3 linked regions of the Drosophila melanogaster genome follow. The protein of the gene in region 3 purifies or fractionates together with the protein of the main gene of each other region. This does not show direct contact. Each region holds a gene or a part of one and is shown on either strand. Other genes may lie near its edges.

The links. The genes of interacting proteins can lie anywhere in the genome.
Region 1: the proteins of pav (region 3) and feo purify together in Drosophila melanogaster (affinity purification with western blotting, with the first as the bait; one study listed by BioGRID). This does not show direct contact.
Region 2: the proteins of pav (region 3) and sti purify together in Drosophila melanogaster (affinity purification with western blotting; one study listed by BioGRID). This does not show direct contact.

Annotation. Positions count from the first base shown.
Region 1 is NC_004354.4:10,850,930-10,856,377, forward strand, and holds feo (fascetto), read right to left. Parts: upstream 3,941-5,448; 5' UTR 3,676-3,940; coding exon 1,660-3,675; 3' UTR 1,517-1,659; downstream 1-1,516. Other genes in the region: CG2202 (uncharacterized protein), read left to right, coding at 1-44, 132-712, 776-843; sofe (sister of feo), read right to left, coding at 4,519-5,448.
Region 2 is NT_037436.4:12,507,800-12,516,472, reverse strand, and holds sti (sticky), read left to right. Parts: upstream 1-1,657; 5' UTR 1,658-1,805; coding exon 1,806-2,091; intron 2,092-2,347; coding exon 2,348-2,592; intron 2,593-2,648; coding exon 2,649-3,011; intron 3,012-3,070; coding exon 3,071-4,438; intron 4,439-4,669; coding exon 4,670-6,172; intron 6,173-6,248; coding exon 6,249-6,444; intron 6,445-6,500; coding exon 6,501-8,116; 3' UTR 8,117-8,475; downstream 8,476-8,673. Other genes in the region: tral (trailer hitch), read right to left, coding at 901-1,021.
Region 3 is NT_037436.4:4,240,084-4,247,709, reverse strand, and holds pav (pavarotti), read right to left. Parts: upstream 4,977-7,626; 5' UTR 4,833-4,976; coding exon 4,822-4,832; intron 4,763-4,821; coding exon 4,004-4,762; intron 3,946-4,003; coding exon 3,396-3,945; intron 3,336-3,395; coding exon 3,014-3,335; intron 2,959-3,013; coding exon 2,408-2,958; intron 2,347-2,407; coding exon 1,876-2,346; 3' UTR 1,477-1,875; downstream 1-1,476. Other genes in the region: ago (archipelago), read left to right, coding at 1-56, 123-234; Sqor (sulfide quinone oxidoreductase), read right to left, coding at 5,250-5,566, 5,620-5,806, 6,007-6,216, 6,275-6,475, 6,534-6,758, 6,819-6,924, 7,187-7,314.

The DNA.
Region 1 (5,448 bases), on a different chromosome or scaffold from region 3:
GTCAAAGCCTTTCCCCGTGCCACCGATCTCAAGGTCCATGAGCGGTAAGTGATGAATCCACTATCCCCACTGTTGCTATCCGCTGTTTTTTCTTTTTTTGTTTCCTAAACGATTTTTGCCTGGACTTGCAGTTACCACACGGGCACCAAACCTAATCTGTGCAATACTTGCGGCAAGAGCTTCCACCGCGCGTACAATCTAACGATCCACATGCGCACGCACACCGGCGAGCGGCCGTACAAGTGCGACCAGTGTCCCAAGAGCTTCACGCAAAGCAACGACCTGAAGGCGCACATCCGGCGGCATACGGGCGAGCGGTACAAGTGTCCGCACTGCGATGCCTACTTCCTGCAGTTGTATAATATGCGCAATCACTGCATGAGCGCCCACAACAAGCACATCGAGACGAAGACGGGACGACTGCAGCGCACGGGTCTGCTAGACGATGGCGGTCAGTCGCATTTGACCACCGTCGTTATGCCGCCGGCACGGTATCCAAATGAACTCGATCCCCAGCTGGCGGCGACGGCTGCGGCGACTGCAGCTGGCGGTGCTGAGAGCACATCGTCGACCACCGTCATTCACTCGCCGGGTACATACAATGCGACAGCTGCAGCTCCAGCTAATACCTTCGATGGAGCCAACTTTACACCCACGGCAGTGAATACGCCTGCTCCGTTTGGCGCCTTTAACTTTCCGCCGGCCGTTATGGGTATGTAGGGAATAGCATCATCCTTGTCATAACCATACTCCATCTCTGTCGTTTTCGCTACAGCGCATCTCATGTACAACCAAGGAGGAAGCAGCCAGCACAGCCAGAGCGGAAGCGATGCGGGCAAATAGCTATCGATGCTGAAGTGCGTGATTCTGCTACTGCTCCTGCTCCTCCTGGGCTTCACACGGCTCCAACTCATCCCGAACATCAAACTATTCCAGTGTAGACTTAAGCTTTCCTCTGTACATAAACGGTATCCGAATTGGGAGGAGCTGTTGCACCGCACCGGGCTCTGGCCAATTGAAGGGTTCATCACTGGCGCAGGCACCACACGTGCCGCCCATTTTAATGTGTTAATATGTATTTAATAGTCAAATAAGAACTGCTCTACTACAGTGTAGGCGGTTGGAATCTTTTTATAAAGCTTGCATCAGTGCGATTGTATATTAGTATATTAAAATTAAATTGCACATAGCTCCCCCTCCCTCAAACAATTGACAAATTGAATTGTATATTAGTATATTAAAATTGAAGTCCAAATAGCACCCCCTCCCTCTAACAATTGACAAATTTAGTTGTATATTAGTATATTAAAATTAAAGTGCAAATAGCTCCCCATCCCTCTAACAATTAACAAATTTAGTTGATGATCAAATAAATCGTGAAAGCATAGTAAAACATCGAAATGTACAGCTATTTCTTTTTGGTGGAAAACTAGCAAAAAATTATTAACAAATGTACAACCAATTCCTGAAATTTACACACGAATTATGCTGAAAGAAATGTGAAATACACTCGAGTCTTGTGGTCAAGCGAAAAAACTCACATAAATTTTATTCTGAAAACGTAAAACAGAAAATAAAAAATTAAAATACATCAAGAAACTCCAACTGTTATGAAATAGTGTAGTAGGTACGCGTTAAGCTAGTCAATCTCCAGTGGAACTAGAACTGTCTGCGCGGCTGCACGATCATCAGGCTTTCCCGCGGCACCGGCAGATTGGCATTCATTTCCGCACGACGAGTTCGCGGCACGGCCAATTGATGACGCTGGCGCGGCAGCATCGAGGAGCGACTGGTCGGCTGAAATTCGTCATAGCTGACACCCTGCTCGGGATTCTCGTCCGTTGTGTAGTCACTGCTGTCGGGTGGGGCGTTCTGATCGTTGGACTTGGTGCGCGCCTTCTTGCTGGAACGCGTTCCAATGCTGCGCCTGCCCATACCGCCGCTGCGTCGCAGTGTGTTGTCCAGTACGCGAACACGTTTCAGCGGCGACTTGGTGCTCTTCAGCTGGTTATGCTGCTGGCTGGGCGCGAGCAGGTGCTTGGCTGGCGACGCCTTCATCGAGTTGAGTGTGTTCATAAGGCTGCGCTTGGCGTTGGGCGTTTTGGGGCCCGTCTGCAGGCCGGACGGATTCAGGCGCTTGTGCAGATTGCCCGTACTCTTGGTGATGTTTAGTGGACGGAGGTGCTGCTGCGACGGCGTCTTGCGCAGCGACATGGTGGAGCTGGAAAGGGTCGACATGTTGCGCAGCGTGCGCGGCGTGCGTGGAGCTGTCGAGCCCGTTGCCGGCGGTGGCATTATCTTGCTGGCCGATGGCGGTGCCTTCTTGCGCGCCGAGCTCTGCTGTTTGGCCTGGCGATGACGCTCCCAATCGGCGGCCATCCGCTCCAGGATGTTCTCGCCGTGCACCAGAAAGGGTGTGTTCTCCTGCGCCTCGTATGCCTGCACCAGTTCCGTGATCTGCTGCTCAATCTTGGGCAGCTTGGAGGTGATGGCCTTGCGCTCCTTCTCCTCCTTGAGCAACTGGCCGCCACGATTGTTGAAGCGATTCGGCTCGCTCGCCTTGGCCTCCAGCGCCTCCATGCGCGACCAGAGTTCGGCACGGCTTTCGTACAGATCGAAGATCTCCTTGTTCTTGTTGTAGAAGGTCTTGAGGTCGTCCAGCTCAAGTTCGTGGAGCTCCAGCAGATCTTCGTTGTACCAGTCGTTGTAGTAGTTCGAGAAGCGCTTGCGCTCCTGCTGGCTCTTAAGTGTGAGATCCCACATCTCCTTGATCTCGATGCGTAGCTGCTCGATGAAGGTTTTCAGATTCTGGCGTCGCAGGGCCTGGCAGCGCTGCAGTTCCTCCCGCAGGACATCGTAGGTGCGTTGAGTGTAGGTCGTAGCCTCGCGCACGCGACGCATGGCATACTCGTCTGTCTCCTGGAGTCTGTCCCACAGCACATGGATCTTTTCGCGCATATCGTCGATGCGCTCCCTCAGCTCCTTCACCTGGTCGGCGAAGTTCTTTTGCATGTTGCGCAGGAGCTCGAAGGTCTCCGGCGTTAGGCAGTGATCCACCTGGTTGAGCAGACGCTCCTCGGTGTCCGTCTGGGGCAGGCACTCAAGCAGCTTCATGTCGTGCTTAATGGCCTGGCGCAGCTGGTCCATCTCTTTGAGGCGCAGCACTCGCTGATCGCGTAGCTGGCCCAGGCGATTCCGAAAGGCGTCCATCTCCTCGGGCAGCGGCAGTGGATCCGCCAACAGTGGCAGAGGCAGCTCTCCCAGTTCCTCGCACAGCTGCTCCTGCTGCAGCAGAAGCTCACAGATCTCCGCTCGCCGCCTGGCCAGCTGATCGCGTAAGTGCTCGATGCTTTTGTCCAGCTTCAGCTCCCAGACGACCAGCGGCATGGACTCCGGCCGCTCGCCAATGTCCAGCGGCTCGTGGAGTAGGCGCGTCAAGTCGGTGGCCTCTGCCCGCAAGGCGGCTATATCGTTGAGGATCGCCTGCTGCTTTTCGCGCGACTCATTGAGCAAATCCGTGAAGAAGCTGTTCGCATGGTCCTTCAACCGGAGGAGGAACTCACCGCAGGTCTTGACCTCGAACAACTGCGACCACATCGCGTGCAACTGATCCACGTGCTCGCCCGTCATCTCCAGGATCTGGGCCTTCACCGCAATGGCGCTCGGCGAGTTCATTTTCTCCGTTTTCGTTGTGAAATTTGTGTTTTTTTTTTTTTGTTCAAAATTTCTTTTCTTGCGTAAATGCTCACTGGCTTTGTTTTTTCGTTGTGTTCACTTGGGGACTATTTAACCAGCATATCTGAGTTAACTTGACAGTTGTGTCGCAGACCCACAACGCTGGGCAGGATTGCTCGGGAATGTGCGGATTTATTTAGTGGTTTATTTAGAGTGCATCACTGCACGAAATTTCGAACTGAATGAATCGATGACGCTAGACAGAAATTTCGGTAAATTCAAATTGAAATGGCGGCCAAGAGTGTTGCCACCGCGTTGTGGGACAGCATTGCCACGCGGCGGTAACTTCTGGTAAAACCAGGGCTGGAGCATACGCCACTTTTTTGAATATTTAAAATTCGTTATTTGGTTTATTAGCAAATTAAAATATCTATTTTAATTATTTTGCTCCTTAAAAACGTATTATATTCTCTTATATGCGCTTAGTAAACATCCCACAGACTTTAGAAAACCCTTCCCACACATGTATATTTTGGTAAAATTGAAATCAAGTAATTTATAATGTAAACAAGCGTTTTTATCTGACTAAAAATTTAAAATGTGGACAATTGTTCATTTACTTCTTGCCGTCACAGGTAGTGCAAAATAGTTAAAAGAATTTTAAAGTTGTAAATTTAGATAGTCTTTGCGCTAGGAAAAGCCCTAACACTATACATATGTGTATACATATAAATACGATGAGTCTGCAATTGCGAGCCAAATACTTCAGTACAGGTAATAGATATAGAACACAGATCAGTTGCCGAAATGATTGCCATTGGATGTGATTAGAGTCTAGCTCCATTATATGGCCACGACCGCCTCCTCGTCGGGACTCTCGTTCTCCTCGCCGGACGGCGGACGCACATGGATTTTTGGTATGGGACGAATTTTCTGGGGATTCCTGCTCCCTGTGCTCGGCCTGCCGGATCCCTTGCCCCGACGCACCGAGTATTCCAGCACGCGCACCTTCCTCTGCGGCGACTTGAGCAGCTTCTGCCCATTCACACAGACCTTGCGACTTGCATTGTTGCACTCCAGCGATGCGATTAGATTTCGCTTGGCCGCTGCTGCCGGCTGTGGACTATTGGTGTTGTGATGCTGTGGATGCCGTCTCTTGTGCAGATTCCCTGTGCTCATTGCCGTGGTGCTGGCATTTGCCTTGGTCGGCGTCTTCTTCAACGAGGATGTGGATCCATGGATGCCCCGGTTGCTCTTCTGCGTATTGGGCGTAAGAGGCACCATTGGCGGCTTCATTTGGCCGCTCGTATTGCTGCCATCCTTCTTCTGGGCGGAGGGCTGCTTTTTGGACTGTCGATGCCGCTCCCAGTCCGCCGACATGCGCTCCAGTATATCCACGCCGTGCACCAGGAACGGCGTGTGCGTTTCACTCATGTAGACCTGCACCAGTTCGGTGATTTGTTGATCGATCTTGGGCAGACGGGACATGATAGTCTTGCGCTCCTTCTCCTCCTTGAGCAGCTGTCCACCGCGATTGTTGAACCGATTTGGATCGTTGGCCTTGGCCTCCAGGGCCTCCATGCGCGTCCATAGCTCGCCTCGATTCGCGTATAGCTCAAATATCTTCCTGTTGCTGTTGTAGAACTCCTTAAGGTTGTCCAGCTCCTTCTCGAACTGCTCGAGAACATCTTCGGTCTGCGTATCACAGTAGTAGGTGGTGAAGCGCCTGCGCTCCTCGGTGCTTTTCAGTGAAAGATCCCACCACTCGTTGAT
Region 2 (8,673 bases), 8.3 Mb from region 3:
TTTTCTTATCCCAGCCGCCATTTTTATTCCATTGCTTTAAGAAAGATCTTTCACAAAACTAAACTTTTAAATTTTTAAATTTTTCCATTGCAAATAAGCTACCTTTTTTGCTTAACCGGTATTCTAAGTCGGTTTTTAAAAGTGCTCCATCTAATAAGTGGAACTTTCCGAGCCCACATCTTTCAAGTTTATATTCCAATTGTTTTAAAATGAATGCACCGCATTATATAATGCAATTGTTCAAAAGACGAATTACTTGGATTGCGGCAAACTTGTAAACCCATTAAGGTTAGGCCGCGCTTCCAATTTAACCTCAACTGGGGAACGCATGTTTTGCCGGTATTTCTCCGCTCTCCGTTCCTCCTTTTCGACTTCCAGGGCACTGACATCCGTAACGGGAGCCCTTGGATCCCGTTATCTGGCGCCAAATCGAAATTGTATTTGCAAATAAACAAATTGCATTGGGGCCTTGCTGGTGCTCGTTACTTTGTGCGCGGGTGTATGTGTGCCAAGTAAATTGCAAAAGCAACACTGTACAACAACAACCAAAGACAAAAACAGGCCAAAGCCAACATGACAAACAAAAAGCATAAGTGGGAGAGCGAGAGACGGCTGTCGAAATGGGTAATGGAGAGAGCGGTGGCGGCAATTGCACTCACCGTCTCCACGAGTATGAAATTACTGTAAAAACTAACAAAAAGAAACGAACCAAAAGGAAAGAAAGAGTAGAGCCACCAACACAAGAGAAATGGACAGAATCCATTTTCTTTTGCGATGAACCGTTTTTTTACACGATTTTTTTTTTCTTTTTTTTTGGCGCAGATTACGGCACCCACATATGTATATCCCGTATATGTACATATATGGGCGACGTGGGCGATTTTCGTATTAAATACTTACCACTCGAGAGCGCAATGGTGCACTCCTGCGGATCCACCGTGTACAGGCGGCCCTCGTATCGAATGTCCGCCTTGGAAATGAGGCTGATTTTGGAGCCCAACTCCGGTAATCCCCCGCTCATCTTGAACTACTTCGATGCTTCACTGCGCACTCACGCCGAAAATACAAACTATTATTAAATGTTTCTGCCAACAGGCACACGAATTTCTCTGTCAAAAGCAAACAATTATAGCGAGCGCGACGACAACGATTTCTCGACGGTTTCAGTCTCTGCTCTTTTACTTTTTTTCCGTCTTTTTTTCACACGCAATTGCGTTCCAGTTCCAGGGCGAATTTGCGGCCAATCGCCTTCTAGCCGCGTTTGCTTTATCAAGCTGTGTTTTTGCACAAGTGCGACAAGCGCTTTTCCAATGTCTGTGATGCTGCACACACGGCTCCAAATGTGAAAATTGCAATTTTCGATGCACAAATCTTTGCTCCGTCCGTCTGCGAAAACCTACCCGTCGAAAATGAACGATGCATACGAGCGAGAGCCTCGACGGTGTTGGAAAGCGCGGTTGTATAGCAGCGGCGGCGGCAGCGAAATAATAATAATAACTGTTTATGTGCAAAACTGTGCAAAATATAAAAGGGGACGCTTCAAAAGGTTGCCAAAAGTAAATAAGACTATTTCATTATTTATCCGTTCTCTGTTTGCATTAAAATTCAAATTTTATCCTCTTTCACAGGGCAGCCCTACTTGCAACCCTAAATACAACTCTGGAAAGTGAGCACGCATCCCTGGCTCTTCGGCTTCCCTCGGCGCATTTTTTTCAAAGCGAAACGGCAGAAAAATGCTCTGGCATTTTACGGATTTCTAATTGTATTATTTATGTGAGAAAATTGCAAATAAAAGTGAGTCCATCATGCCACCCAAGATGGAGCCGATTAGCGTGCGCACCGCGCGTCTGAACAACCTGATTCTGGGCAAAGGAGCTGGCGTCTGTGCGAAGCCCGCTGGAAGCGCCTCCGGATCAGGTATTCCCGCCTCCACCAGGAGAAGCATTGTACCCGTGAGCACCACTAGCGCCGCCGTGGCCGAGGCCATCTGCCGCGAGGGACTCCTGGACGCCTTCTGTCTGCTGTACAACGAGTGCGACAAGGATACGCTGAAGAAGCGCGATCGCAACATCGCCGAGTTTGTCAACAAATGTGAGTCAACTGCATTGGTCAGCAGGGTTTTCGGATGGAGTATCTACCATTCTATAGAAATGGAACTCAGAAGCCACATTTTTACTTCCTCGGGTCAGAGAATCTACTTTTGCTAATCATATTCCATTATTAAAGCCCACAAAATTATTGGGAGTAGAATCTCTTATAGATTTACCTGTATGTTCCGGTTTCCCTCCTTGAAAATAGAGCTCATGCCTAGTTACCCATTATATTACTATCTAATTTCCTACTCCAGTTCGTCCCATCATAGAGGAGACCCGCAAACTCAGGGTCAACGCAGATGACTTCCTCATCAAGACGCTTATTGGCCAAGGATACTTTGGCAACGTTCACCTGGTGGTGGAGCGGCAAACCAACGACATATACGCCATGAAGAAGATCAAAAAGTCGGTGGTGACGACGTCACAAGTCAAGGAGGAGCGCGATATCATGTCCATTCGCAACTCTGAATGGCTAATCAATCTGCAGTATGCCTTTCAGGTTTGTTATTTCCACATTTTCGCATATTTCAGTACTTGAATTAACTTATCACTTAGGATAACGACAATCTGTACCTGGTCATGGAGTACATGCCCGGCGGAGACCTTCTCAGCTTGATGTCACGCCACGGCCCTTTCGATGAGGACTTGGCTCGTTTCTATCTGGCCGAGCTCACAGTGGCCCTGCACACATTGCACGAGATGGGCTATGTGCATCGGGATATAAAGCCTGAAAATATACTGATTGATCGTTTTGGCCATATTAAACTGGCTGATTTCGGTAATGCCGCTGCCTTGGATCGCGATGGCCATGTGCTGAGTTTGTCGCCGGTGGGAACACCGGATTACATAGCTCCAGAGCTGCTGCAAACCATATCCACCTACAAGCTGTCCAAGTCGATGCACGATGTGAGTAGAATTGTACGATCGCAGAGTTTGGTTTGGAAAGTTCATAGCTAAAACAAGAACTCATTTTGTAGGTCAGCTGCGATTATTGGTCCATGGGCATTATAGGATATGAGTTAATATGCGAGACAACACCTTTTCACGAGGACAATGTACACGAGACATACTCCAAGATTCTCTCCCATTGCGAGGAGAGTCACCTTAAAGAGCTCATCAGCTTTCCCGCCGACTTGAAGGTGTCTGTTAACTATAGAAATCTTATTGAGTCACTGGTCACAAATCCTTCGAAGCGATTGTCCTATGAGCGCATTAAGAATCACCCCTTCTTTAGCGAAATTCCGTGGGGTTCCATTCGCTCGCAGGTTCCACCGATTATACCAACTGTTAGGTCTGACGATGATACCTCCAATTTCGAGGACGGAATTCGTCATAAGACTCGCAGAGAACAGGGAGTTGCTAAAAAGTCCCTTACGACTAACATGAAATCGAATGATTTCAGTGGCAAGGATCTGCCATTCATTGGGTACAGTTTTGTGCACATGGAAAAGTCGGCAATTTCCGCTACCACCGATGAAAAGCTTCAGGAGAAGCTAAAGGAACTGCTGCAGAAACTGAAGACTAGAGAGAACGAGATTTCCATGCTGAAACAAGATCTTCTGCGGGCTCAGCAATCGCTGAGGAAGACCGATAACAAATCTCAGGTGGTAGCCGATGCTAAAATGGAAATTAAGAAGCTGCAACAGATTATCAAGGAGAAAACAATGGAGCTTACCACTTGCAAGACGCAAATTAAGACACTCCAAAGTTCGGCCAAAATAGACGAGGAAATGTGGTCCAAGAAGGAAGCCACTATCACCGATCTCCTTCGCCTTAATCGACAAAAGTACGAAGAAGCCAAGATCGCTTCGGAGCAACGATATGAGAAACAATTGGCGGACAAAAAGCAAGAGCTGGCATCCACGCTGCAAAAGTTAGATGCCCGTGAGTTGGAGTTCAATGCCAAGTTCGAAGAGTGCAAGCATTTGTCCATGAAGTTGCAAAACTACAAGGATATGCTGCAGCAGATCAAGGAGCAGAATCTCAAGTCCGAGACAAACCATGAGGAGCAGAGGCGCCAAATGGCCGAATTGTATGAGCAAAAGCTAACAGATCTCCGGAAAAAGGTTCGCGACTCGCAGGATACAAACCGCCGCATGACAATGGAGATAAAGGAAATACGCACCGAGCTGGACGAGTCCATATCCTCCAGCAAGTCCACCCAAGAAGCGAAGAACGCTACCGAGCGGAATATCGAAGAAATTCTGCGGCGTCTGAACGAGGAGATCGCCTCCAATAATGAGCTTCATGCGGAAAAGGTCAAACTGGAGACGAAGCTGCAGCTGAAGGAAAATGAAACTCAAGAAGTTAGAGCCGAATGTCATCGACTTGAGAGGGAATTGCAGGTAGGTGGTTATTCATCTGCATTGGTTAATTCAATCACTGCAATATTGAGTAAAAAAAAATTATATAAAAAGAAATCTTAGCAGGCTGTGAATGTTTGTGTTTTTATTTTGTGTCAAACTTAAAGTCTTAATGATTTTTAATGAAGCATATAGCTTTCGATTGAATCGATGAATATAGAAACCTAAAGATATGTAATTTGTAAATATACTTTATGAATTAATTTAAACTAGCTTGCCGAATGTCGCTGTCAGCTGGCTGAATCCTCACTAGCCACCCAGGTTTCCCCCTACGAAACTGCGCCTGGATCTTTGACCGAACTGAATGCCATTGAGGATCAACTTCGCGCCGACTTGTTAGCCGCCAAAGAGAGTGAAAACCATCAGAAGGGACGCGCCGATCAACTGCAGACGCTGGTTACCAAACTGGAGCAAATGCTGGAGCGCTTCAACGAGCAGAGTCTTTCACCCACGAAATCGCACTCATCGCGTAAGCAAGAAGGTGAAACCGTTGGTGATATGCTCGAGCGGCAAAACGAGAAGCTGGAGGATAAATTGGCAGCAGTGCGAGAGCAGATGATTGTGGAACGTCAGGCAGCGCGTACAGCGAATCTATCGCTCTGGAAGGTGGAGAAACAGCTCGAGGAAGCTTTGTCCGAGAAGAAGTTACTGGCGCGTCGCATGGAACTCACAGAGGATCGGATTAAAAAGGTGCAGAACGCAAGCGATGAAGCGCAGAGAATGCTCAAGACGTCACAGGAGGAAACTCGCCAGCGGGAGTCTCGCATCGAGGAGCTGAAGCAGGAACTGGCGGCCGCCAAAAGGGATGTCCTCAAGGAGCACCGCCAATGGGAAAAGGCCGAGCAGGAGCGCATGAAGTGCAAGTCGGAGATAATCGAGCACTTGGCCAATGTGCACAGATTAGAACAACAGGAGACGGAATTGCGCCAGAAACTCAGGCAAATCCAATCGCGATTTGATGGTGTAACTTTGGAACAGAAGAATACCATTCGAGAACTGCAGGAGGAGCGAGAAAAGAGCAGGAAAGCGAATGACTCTTGTTTGGTCTTACAGAAGGAGCTGAAACAACTCACCGATAACTTCCAGAGGTTGAAGTACGCTTGTAGCATTACCGACAGCCAGCTAACTGAGGTGGAGACCATGCTAAAATCGGAGCAGGAACGAAATAAATCCCAGAAATCTCAACTTGATACCCTTCATGAGAAACTCAGAGAGCGCAACGATCAATTAACTGATCTACGAAAGCAACTAACTACGGTGGAATCGGAAAAGCGTCTGGCGGAGCAGCGTGCTCAAGTGTTGGCATCGGAAATCGATGAACTTCGTCTCAATCTCAAGGAGCAGCAGAAGAAGCTGGTGGCGCAGCAGGATCAGTTGGTGGAGCAGACTAACGCACTGTTTGCCACCCAAGAGAGAGCTGAACTTTTGGATGGGCAAAATGCCAATTACGAAGCCCAAACTGCGGATTCGAATCGCGAAATGGTTAGTTTGAAGGAGGAAAATGCTAGAATTCTCAGCGAGCTGTTCCACAAGAAGGAGGAGGTTGGCAATCTTCAGGCGGAGATAAGGGGCTTGGAGTCTGCGCAAGCCAACTTGCACGCAGAGATCGATTCCCTTCAGGACACTTTGGCCGAGAAGGAGCAGTTCTACGTGCAGCGGGACATTAAATCGAATGCCACACTTGCGCAGCACAAAAAGCTGATTGACTACCTTCAGGTATAGCTAGTTTATATATATTCTTTTTAAGAGAATAGTTAATGAGATTAAAAACATTTTTGTATTTATATTTTAGCTCAAAGTTGAGGACCTATCCGCCAAGAAGAAAAAGACATTGGCGGACAAACTTTTCGGTTCTAGCCACACAAACAAGGAGAACGTGTCACCCAATGACGTGGAATCTTCCATTCTGTATCGCGCTCTAAAGGAGGAACTGAAGCGAGAACAAAAGATGAACAGCTTGCTGAAGGAGCAGTTGGCTCAGTTGAATGGTGGGATTTCTTTAGATTTCGCTTGATGTTTGTATCTAATTGTATATTTCCTTTAGGAACTGCAACCTTGCGCTCTCCACGCAAATCTGCAGCTGTTAATGGCGACTCCGATGCACCCAAACAGAGACCCGTAAGCATTGCTGCCTTGCCACGTTCTCCACAGAAGCAGCAGCAGCCCCTGAAGCGCACCACCAGCCAGGTGGAGCTGAAGACGACGGCGGAGAAACCGACTAAAGTAACCATTGAGAACCAGGCTCATCACCGTTTCGAACTGGCCCTGCAGGAGTCCAAGGTGGATGCCGTCAACTGTGTAGTTTGCGAAAAGGCCGTCGTTGCCGGTTCGCCGTTCTGGAAATGCAAGGAGTGCAAAGATGTTACGCATCGCAAGTGTCGCTCCAATGTTCAGAGCCATTGCGGATCCACCAAGCCGACTGCACCGTCAGCCGATGATCTTAGCAGTATTCAATCTGTCTCCAGCTTGACTTTGGATAGCGTAGATGTTGCGGGTGGTACAACCAGCGGTGGCGAGTACATTGGATCGCTGGTCTACAGTTCGGATGGTGCAGAAGATCAGGCACGGAAGGAGATCGAAGTGAACTGCGCCTTTGAAGTGGCCGAGCAGCAAATACTCCTATTGGGCTGTAACACGGGACTGTATGCGTATCACTTGGACTCGCAGCGATTGGTGCACATTTCTGGTCTCGAATCGGTGAGCTGCATGTCCATTTGCAAGCGCCTGGCTAAGGCTATAATGGTGGGCACAGTTGGCGAGAAGCTATATCAATGTGACTACCGCCAGCTGGAGTCACGCTGTCAGAGCTCCAGTTCGTGTCACAAGCCTGTGCTGGAAACGTCGGCCATTGAGCTGCCATTTGCCAATCGCACGCCATCGGAGAAATGGAAACTAGTGCTGATCTCCGATGAGGCGGAGAACGCATTGGATTCGGTGGCTATTGCGGCCACGTCCACTAGGATTGTCATCTTGAAGTACGACCTTAAGCTGCACATGTTTAAGCCAGTTCGAGCCTTGGACACGGCCACGCCGGTCACATCCATATTCTTTACGCGTCACTCGGCCATTGTTAGCTCGGATAAGTTCTACGAGATCGATTTGGACAACTATGCGGCTGAGGAGTTTGTGGATCTGTCCGATAAGTCAATGGAGAGCACTGCCAAGTGCCAGCCCCTAACTGCGGTGCGCATCTCACGACAAGAGTATCTGCTCTGCTTTGCCGAATATGGCGTCTTTGTGGACGAGTTTGGCTGCAGATCCAGGCCGTACGATTTGAACTGGGTCTATGCACCCACTGGATTTGTTTACCGCGATCCATTCCTATTCATATCGCACTATCAAAGCGTGCAGATAGTCCGTTTGCATCGGTCGTTCAGCAAGGAAATGGCCAGCGGGGATAACGCATCGGAGAATTCGGAATCCCCGGAACTGCAGCGCGTCTACTTGCCCCACTACATGTCCACGCTGCTGGCCAACAGCGGAGATGTCAATCTCTATGCCGTGGCCATCGATCAGAGGCCCTGCAATGGAACACAGAAGATCTACCATCTGGACACGATGCAGGCATTCAAGCAGAAGTTCAATATCTCCATGGAAACGCTGTCTTCAGTGGCCACTTCTGTGACTTTGGGCTCGACTGTCACCGGAAATAGCATATAGATGAAGGATATATATTAACTAAACGAATGGACAAAGCAAAATACTACAAACTGAGTAGTTGTAGTTATATCTAGGGTTAGGATATGCTATACATTTGGATTATTATTATTTTAACTTGTCAGAACATATGTTTTTTCACAATCTTTTTCATGTGTAACGATTGCCTAAAATCACATGGCAGAATCTTTTAAAAATTACTTAATTTACTCTTTAAATACTTTGTGCTGTATACACAAATAAAACTTGAGATTTTGATAAAAAAGGTAATTCATATTAAATTAATATATTTATTTTGATCACTAAAATATCGAAGCATATTAAAGGAAATATTTTTTAATTAATTAAAGAAGTCGCATAATATTTTAAATCAATTTTACTATGCAGGATAGCTTTTCGAATAGAATAGTTGGGGGCATGGAGTCGACGCCAAGCTTTTGGGGCTGATCCCACGCAGCTTTTCGGCAGCAGCTTTCAATGTCCCGCAATTCGAAAGCCCCGGAAATGGAATCGTGCTCTCCGCTGGCATTACTGCCATCGTTGGCTTGGCCGCTGGACGC
Region 3 (7,626 bases):
CGTAATCTTGTGGCTCTGGACTCTGGTGGATCCGGCGGCGTTGTGTGGCGGATTAGGTAAGTCCAAGACGATATAAATCCGCTCATTATAAATGTAATTAACTATATCTAAAAACTTTTCAGAGCAAACGACACTAAACTCATTTGTGCCGTCGGTTCCCGCAACGGAACGGAGGAAACAAAGCTAATGGTCCTCGACTTTGATGTTGAGGGTGCATGTGTGAAGTGCTCATAGGAGACGGTGGGGCACTTCCGGTGGAGCCTACGCCGCCGTCTCGCTTGGATTCAGGCGGTGAACGGTCAGGGACGGGGCAGCTAGTATACAGCTTCAAGCGAGATTTCATTGCAAACTCATCCAAACACAGAAAAGCACACACAGACAGATGCCGCGGATGTGAGGGTCCGCAACGTAATGTTGAATGCCTTGCCAACAAAACGCAACTGCTCACATACACCACACACACCATTAACACCACACACACCGTAACACACACACAAAAAACATTAAACAATTAAGGGAAAGAAGAGTAGGGTAGTCGGGTGGTCGGGGTGTGGCTGTGGCTGTGAGTGTATATTGTTAATAATACCCTTTTAAATTACGTTGCTTCATAGCCAAAATTCGTTTTCCACCGTAGAATAATTTCGCTTCTTAGTTTTTATTGCTATTGTGTATATGGCAAGAATCGATTACCTTAATGATAATATTATGATTATGATTACGTATTATAAAGCGCAGATTTACAACTGCAGATGCAAATAATTGTTTCGCGTCGTGTGAACCTGAGAGAGCGTTTATGAGAACAGAGCTTTATATTGATTAAATTGTAATTTGTTTAAATGAAATTTGGATAAGATGGATATGTTAATATTGGCCCACCACTTGAGTTGAGTTTGCCGCCTATTATGTTTACATTTGTGGTTTTGTTTCGTCTCGTCCAACTTGTTTTGTTTAATTGTACTTGAACGGGTATGTACCTAAATTCTATTATCACGTTCTGATTGTTTCCCTTTTACATTTGATTTGATTCATTTGTCGTGCAGTAGCATTAGCGATATTGGCTTCCAATTCCAAATTCGAAATTCCTCATTTGCCAGGAACCTGCCACATTTGCCGCACATAGCGTTTAAGAGTCATCTGCCGAACTCATCGAGCAGCAACTCACACCCACGAAACAGCAACTGCAACATGAACACTGCAACACAACAACACTCACACACGTGAAATCATTAAGCGAACATATATTTTAATTATAGACTGATTTATTAGTAATTGAAATTAATCTACAAATATGTATGTGTAATGGTACCGTATGTATTTCAATAAAATTTATCGGTTTAAGCATAAATCTGAATAAACGCAGGAATAATAATAAAAATAGTTAAAACCATCTATGTGCCACATGTTATTGCTTCACGGAACTCTGGGAGCTTTGCAGCCAGAAAATCTAAAATTGATAAAAACCAAATTGATCACTTTCAGTATATGCGCGTAATTCACTTTATTTGTTCATTTTGTGACTGGACTGGAGTTGGGTTCACTCCGAAAAACAATAAAATATTTAATACTTTATAATAACACTAGAGTAGTTCTATGATTGGACGATGCTTGGATAGTTTCTAACAACTGCTCTTGGCAGATACCCTCCGGGTACCGACTATTTGGAGCAGGAAACATTTCCATTTGCGAGGGGTTGCGAATTCATTTACGGGATTATTTATACAGATTAACTTTTCTTTAATCAAACAAATCACTTCAATGCGATTCAACTCCAAAAACCGAAGTGGGTGAGTAATAAACTTAAATTTAAGTTATGGAAACTAAGTAACTATGAACTAAATGGGTAATTGACTTTGAGAATTCCACGCTGAGTCATTTTTAGATTTTCGACTTCTTGCTGCTGTGTCCCTCAATGCCGAGATTGCAGCGGGAGGCTACGTCCTGGGCTGAGGTGACCGTGCTGGGCACTGCACCGCCGCCCAGAGCCGAAATGTTGCCATTGCTGGGTCGCTTTCGCGTGGGCGAGTGAACCGGTGACTTCTGCTTGAGGCACTCCACATCGTTGAACACAACTTGGGCACCACCGCCACAAGTGGGAATTACATTGCCCTTATACAGCTTCGTCTCCACATCGCCATCCGTATCCGCATCCTGCGAGACGAGACAGTACTTCGTAGTTCCGTGAGCAGTCAACTCCTTCAAGTCGGTTAGTTTCGTTACGGATTTGCGATTCTTCAGATACGGCTGCATAATAGTGCCAAGCGGAACGGGATTAGCTGCCCGATGCTCCAGCCACTTGTCGCCTGCGGATCGAGAGCGTCTATGCCGATTGTTGGCCGCTGCTGCACCCTGTTGGGATATAAAATTATCAATAGATATTGCAATATTCTAGGATTAATCATACACTTACATGACGTGGCGTTGCATATATATCTGTTCGTGTAGCTGGCACCGAGGACTCCTCCGTGCGCGCCGTATATGCACCGCGATCTTTCTCATTAAGTATGTTTTCCGAGCTCTGTGACCGCGGCAAACTGGGCAGATCTTCGGACTGCAGAATGTTGGAGACCAATCGCAACTTCTCGTCCTTGATGCGCATGCGTTCCTGCAATTTCACTCGCTGTTCACGCAGCTTTAGTTCAAACTCTCGCTTATTTTTGTCCGACTCAACGGCCAGCTTGGAGCTGAACTTCTTCTTTTGCTTTTCCTTCTCGTGCTCCTTTTGGGTGAGCATATTCTCCTTCTCGTTCAGCTTGAAAGTCAGCTCTTCAATCTGCCGTTCTTGCTTGCTTAGCGTATTGTTAAGCACGTCAATGGAGCTCTCGTGGATGCGAACCTTCTTCTCGAGTGCCGCACTGCGATCGCGCTCCTGCTTGTAAACAGCCTTTAAGGAGGCGAGCTCCGTGCGCAGCTGAAGATTGTCGCGGTCAAGGTTCATCAGCATCTGCCGGAAGCTGTCACCTGAAAGTTGTGGAATTAGTATTTCAATGTTAAGATTAAGAAAGTGACGTCTTACATTTAATGTCCAAGTTGGCACGCAGCTTCTTTCGCTTTTCTATGCGCTGCTCCAGATAATGCATTAGCTCGCGGATTTTGATCTGTGCCTCGGGACTGTCCATTTCGTAGGCGGGAAAATCGGGTCCCAAACTGTACACCAAACCCACGTCCACCTCCAAATCCTTGGCCTCAGGAATGCCCAGCTCGTTTAGATTATTAACGGCAATCTTGAACAGCTTGTTGGCCTTGCGACGGCCGGGAGTCAGACCCAAATCTTGCTTCATAGGAGTCGCCCGAGCAATTTGCACCTCCTGGGTCATCTCGGCGAACTTCATCACTTGCTAAACGGGATAAATAAATTTTAGGGACCAGAGTACATTGTTGTCAGAAAAATAGTTTACCATATTCTCATCATAGTCCTCAATTCTTGGGTTGATGCACACAATCATGGACACCTGGCCTTCGCCATCGAAGTAGTTTTTAAACATGTGTGTGATCTTGGAGTCTCGATAGGGGACCTTCTTGGGTGCCAATCCATTGCTAGCCGCGAGTTGGTTCTCGCGCAGATATTCCAGGCAAGTGCGCAGCGTCATCAGCGAATTATTGATGTTGCCCGCCTCACGGAGTCGCACACCGGTGTTCTTGGTCCTTGAGGATCGCTCACTGCCCGCCAGATCCACCAGGGACAGTTGACTCACTGTGATGTTTTGCCGGTCCTGAACCACATTCTCACCCTGGCTATCAGTGGGCGCCTGCACCAAGCGTATATTGAACACCGAGTGACTCCTACTGGATTCTGCATTGAGAACAGTGTGTCCCATTCGTTTGCGCTTCTGGCCCATTTGAAAGACCTCGAGGGCGTCCTCCACGGTCTTGACCTCCACCTCTGTGACGCCGTGGACGAACATGTGTCGATTGGCATCTTCACGAATGATTTTGCTCTGCAAAGTCCTGTCGGGTCAAGAATACAGTTAGATTTCTTTAAATGTAATGCTTAATAAATACTTACTTCTGTATACCCGAGTCCTCAAGGAGGTCGTAGACGCTGTTATTGTAAATTTCAATATAGGTGACAAACACCGAGTACATGTTGTCCTCATCCAAACCCAGCAGCGGAATTGGCTCCACGGAGGCCTGGGATGCAATTTCCGGATCCGAGTCCTTGTGCCTGAAGGCAAATCGTCCTGAGCCAGCAAAACGCTGGTTCATCTCGTGTTGGCGCTCCAAAAGCGCATCCTCTTCGGACAGGATCTCGAAGCCATTAAGCTTGTCCGGCTTGAAGACGAACTTCTTGGCCTGGTAATCTGAAATGGTGCGAAAGAGCACGTCCAGGCAGCGCGGCATGATGCCGCGGTGTCGCAGGTTGCCGGTCATGGTGTACGTTTTTCCACTTCCAGTCACGCCGTAGGTGAAAAGCAGACTGTTTCGGCCTTTCAGTAGGTTCTCCACCAACGGCTGGGCCACAGCTGCGTACACATCCTGCTGCGTGGCATCCGGCTGGAAAACGTGCTTGAATATGTACTGAACCTCGCGCTGGGCGCCGTTGTGTGGCTTGTGATGCTGCAGCAGCTGATCCTGCGGATTCAGTGCGATCGTCGTGGAGTTCTTGACCCTTAGGGAGGTGAGATCTGCGTCGGATTGTAGTGGCCGCACTCGACAGAACACATTCACTGGATCCCTGGCCTTGTCGGAGGTGTCTCGTCGCTGTTTCTCCACCGTTTGATGCACCCGCGGAGTTTTCGGGACGACACGCATCGGCGTCCTGGGTCTGCAAATGGGTATTCTCATTGATGGAGTTGTTCTTTCGGGAACTGTCATATCACTTACACTGCCTTCATGTTGTCAGCTCGTTTTTGCAACTAATTTGATATACGGGAGTTGGGTTTCTTCTTGTTTTGTTGCTGGAATCGATCTCTCTTTTAGTTCGTTACCTTCAAATTTACAGCGCCAAGCGACGCCACGCTTGGTTTTAGAGTGACCGAACTTTAGAAAGCGGTTAATGCTGCAAATACCATCCCCTGCTCCAATATATACTTGATACATACTGAAACCGAGGCTATGTACAGTGCGTGCCATTTGAATAGGTTAAAATATTTAGATATACTAGATTTTAAACTAATTTAATACTTTTATTTATGATCTCACATACCAAATTAAAAGTACAATGTTTATAAATTAGTATGATATTAAGGTATGGAATGGTTATGATGATGCCAAATATTCTTTTAAAATTAATTAAAGATCATTTGAGGTCCCTATTGCTTTTTATTAAACTTTAGCACTGAGAAAATTTTCCGCATTAGTGCCGGTCCGTTCCAGTAGCCGTTCATCATCAGCTTCCAGTAGAGCACCGGCATCAGCTCCTTCTTCATAAAGAACATGGAGTACCTCTCCTTGGACTGGTCCAATGGAAAGGTCTCCACGGGGGTGAGGTTGTAATCAAACTCAGCCAGGATGCAGGAGCTGTAGCCGGTGACGATGGGGCAGGACGAGTATCCATCGTAGATATCCGTTGGGGCTTTGCCCTCGATCGCCGCCATTACGTTTTTGAACACAACCGGTGATTGGGCGGCTGGAGGTGAAAAATCAATTGAATATTCTGATCAGGATTCCCAACCCATTTACCTGCCGCCGCGGCCGTCTTCGAGTTGGGACTGGACGCCGAATCGCCGATGGCGAACACGTTGCTGTACTTGTTGTGCTGCAGCGTCAACTGGTCGACGTCCACAAAGCCAGTGGGGGTTACCAGTTTCTTGCAGTTGGCCACCACATCCGGAGTGCTCATCGGCGGAGTCACATGAAGCATGGAGTACTGAGAAAGATATAATACTTATATAAGTTTAATTTCATGGCCTTCAATTCTCCTATTTCTGCAATACTATACGACTTTAAAATTGATCTTAGTTAACCTACTCTTCATATTTCTCGCTTTAAGTAGAAAGATATAGTTCTAGGATCTAGATCTAGATCTATATAGTATCTAGAATACCCAATTAATTGACCAGCACTTACCGTTTCCTCATAGTGAACTCCTGGTTTGGCGAGATCCTCGAACACGGCTATATTATCTTTATGTCTCACTTCAACGAGATTTCTTTGAACATTAAGCGTGATATTTCTCCTCTTGATCAGTTTCATCAGGGCCTCTGCGTAATGCTTAACACCAAAAATCACGGGAAGCGATGTATTGTAGATGATATTGACGTTGTCGCGACGACCCATCTGAAAAGGGTTTCAAATTGAAGTTGTTTGCCAGATATTCTATCTAAATGATGCACACCTTCCTAAAGTAGTGCTCAGATATATAGGCGATTTTCTGCGGTGCACCTGCACACTTAATGGGACAATTGGGAAACGTGAATATAGCATTTCCTTTGTTGGTCCTGCGCAGACATTCGTACACATGATCCACGTACTTGGGCGAGTAGATGGAGCAAACATTACTGTCGGGGGTCTCCAGGGCCTCCACCAGGCCAGGTATCTATGGATATGTGGATATGGATATTAGCAACTATTAAACGTACTGATACCCTACGTACCTTTCCATAATTGAGCTGCAGTCCGGTGGCGATGATCAGGAAGTCGTACTTGATGGTCTTGCCACCAGAAGTGCTAACCGTATTATTATCCGGATCGAACTCCAGCGCCTTCTCCTTCACCCATTTGGCCTTTGTGGGCAGCACATCGGCCATTTGGCGGTGGCTCTGATCCAATCTCTTCATACCACCTCCTATTAGGGTGAACATGGGTTGGTAGTAATGTTTCTATGGGGAATTATCGCGCTATGTCATAATGGATTATTTACTGCCTTTGGGCTTACTCACATCTTCCGGTTCCAGGACGACCACCTTGTCGCTGCCCAAACGTGAGGACAACTTGGCGGCCATGGCACACCCACCGGTGCCACCGCCCACAACCAGCACTTGGCATCTGGAAAAAATAGGATTTACTTAATTGCTGGAATATACAATGACAGACACCTCAAGGGAGATTAGTACAGTCGCATGACCACACCCACCATCAGTGCCATCTAACCATGGCCAACAAGTTATCTCTTCGTTATCGCCATTAATTAGTTACTAGCCTAAACATACTAATTCAATTTGTTTTGGTAGATATAGATATAGATTTGCCATGCCATTTGTTTCGCGGAAAATGTCATAAACTTTCGCAGCTATATAAACAAACTTACTCTTGCCGCTCGCGGTTCACTCGAGATGTGGACAGGAATCTGGTGGAGAAGGCCGTTGGAGCATGGTTGTGGGTGGCTAGGAGAAGCTTCTGGCACTGGCTGATGGTTCCTGGAAGGCGACGGTTCATCGCAACAGCTGGATGATCTTCGATCCCTCAATCTGCGTTAAAGAAAAACAAAACGGACTGCAAGTGCCCACAACCGATTGAAGACTGGCAAAAAAGAGCTTTCAATGGGGGGTTATCAAACCGGCTGCACTGGCAAAAAGTTTGGTCTATTTCAAATTTAGAAAAAACTTTAGAAATTTAAAAAATGCCGAAGATGCTTAGGCGGCACTGTGTAGTGCTTCCCAACATTTCGACCGGCTATCAAGGAAAACAAAACGAGTGTGGGAAAATTTGTCAGTGAAATCGAACATAACAACTGATTTTGAACACAAG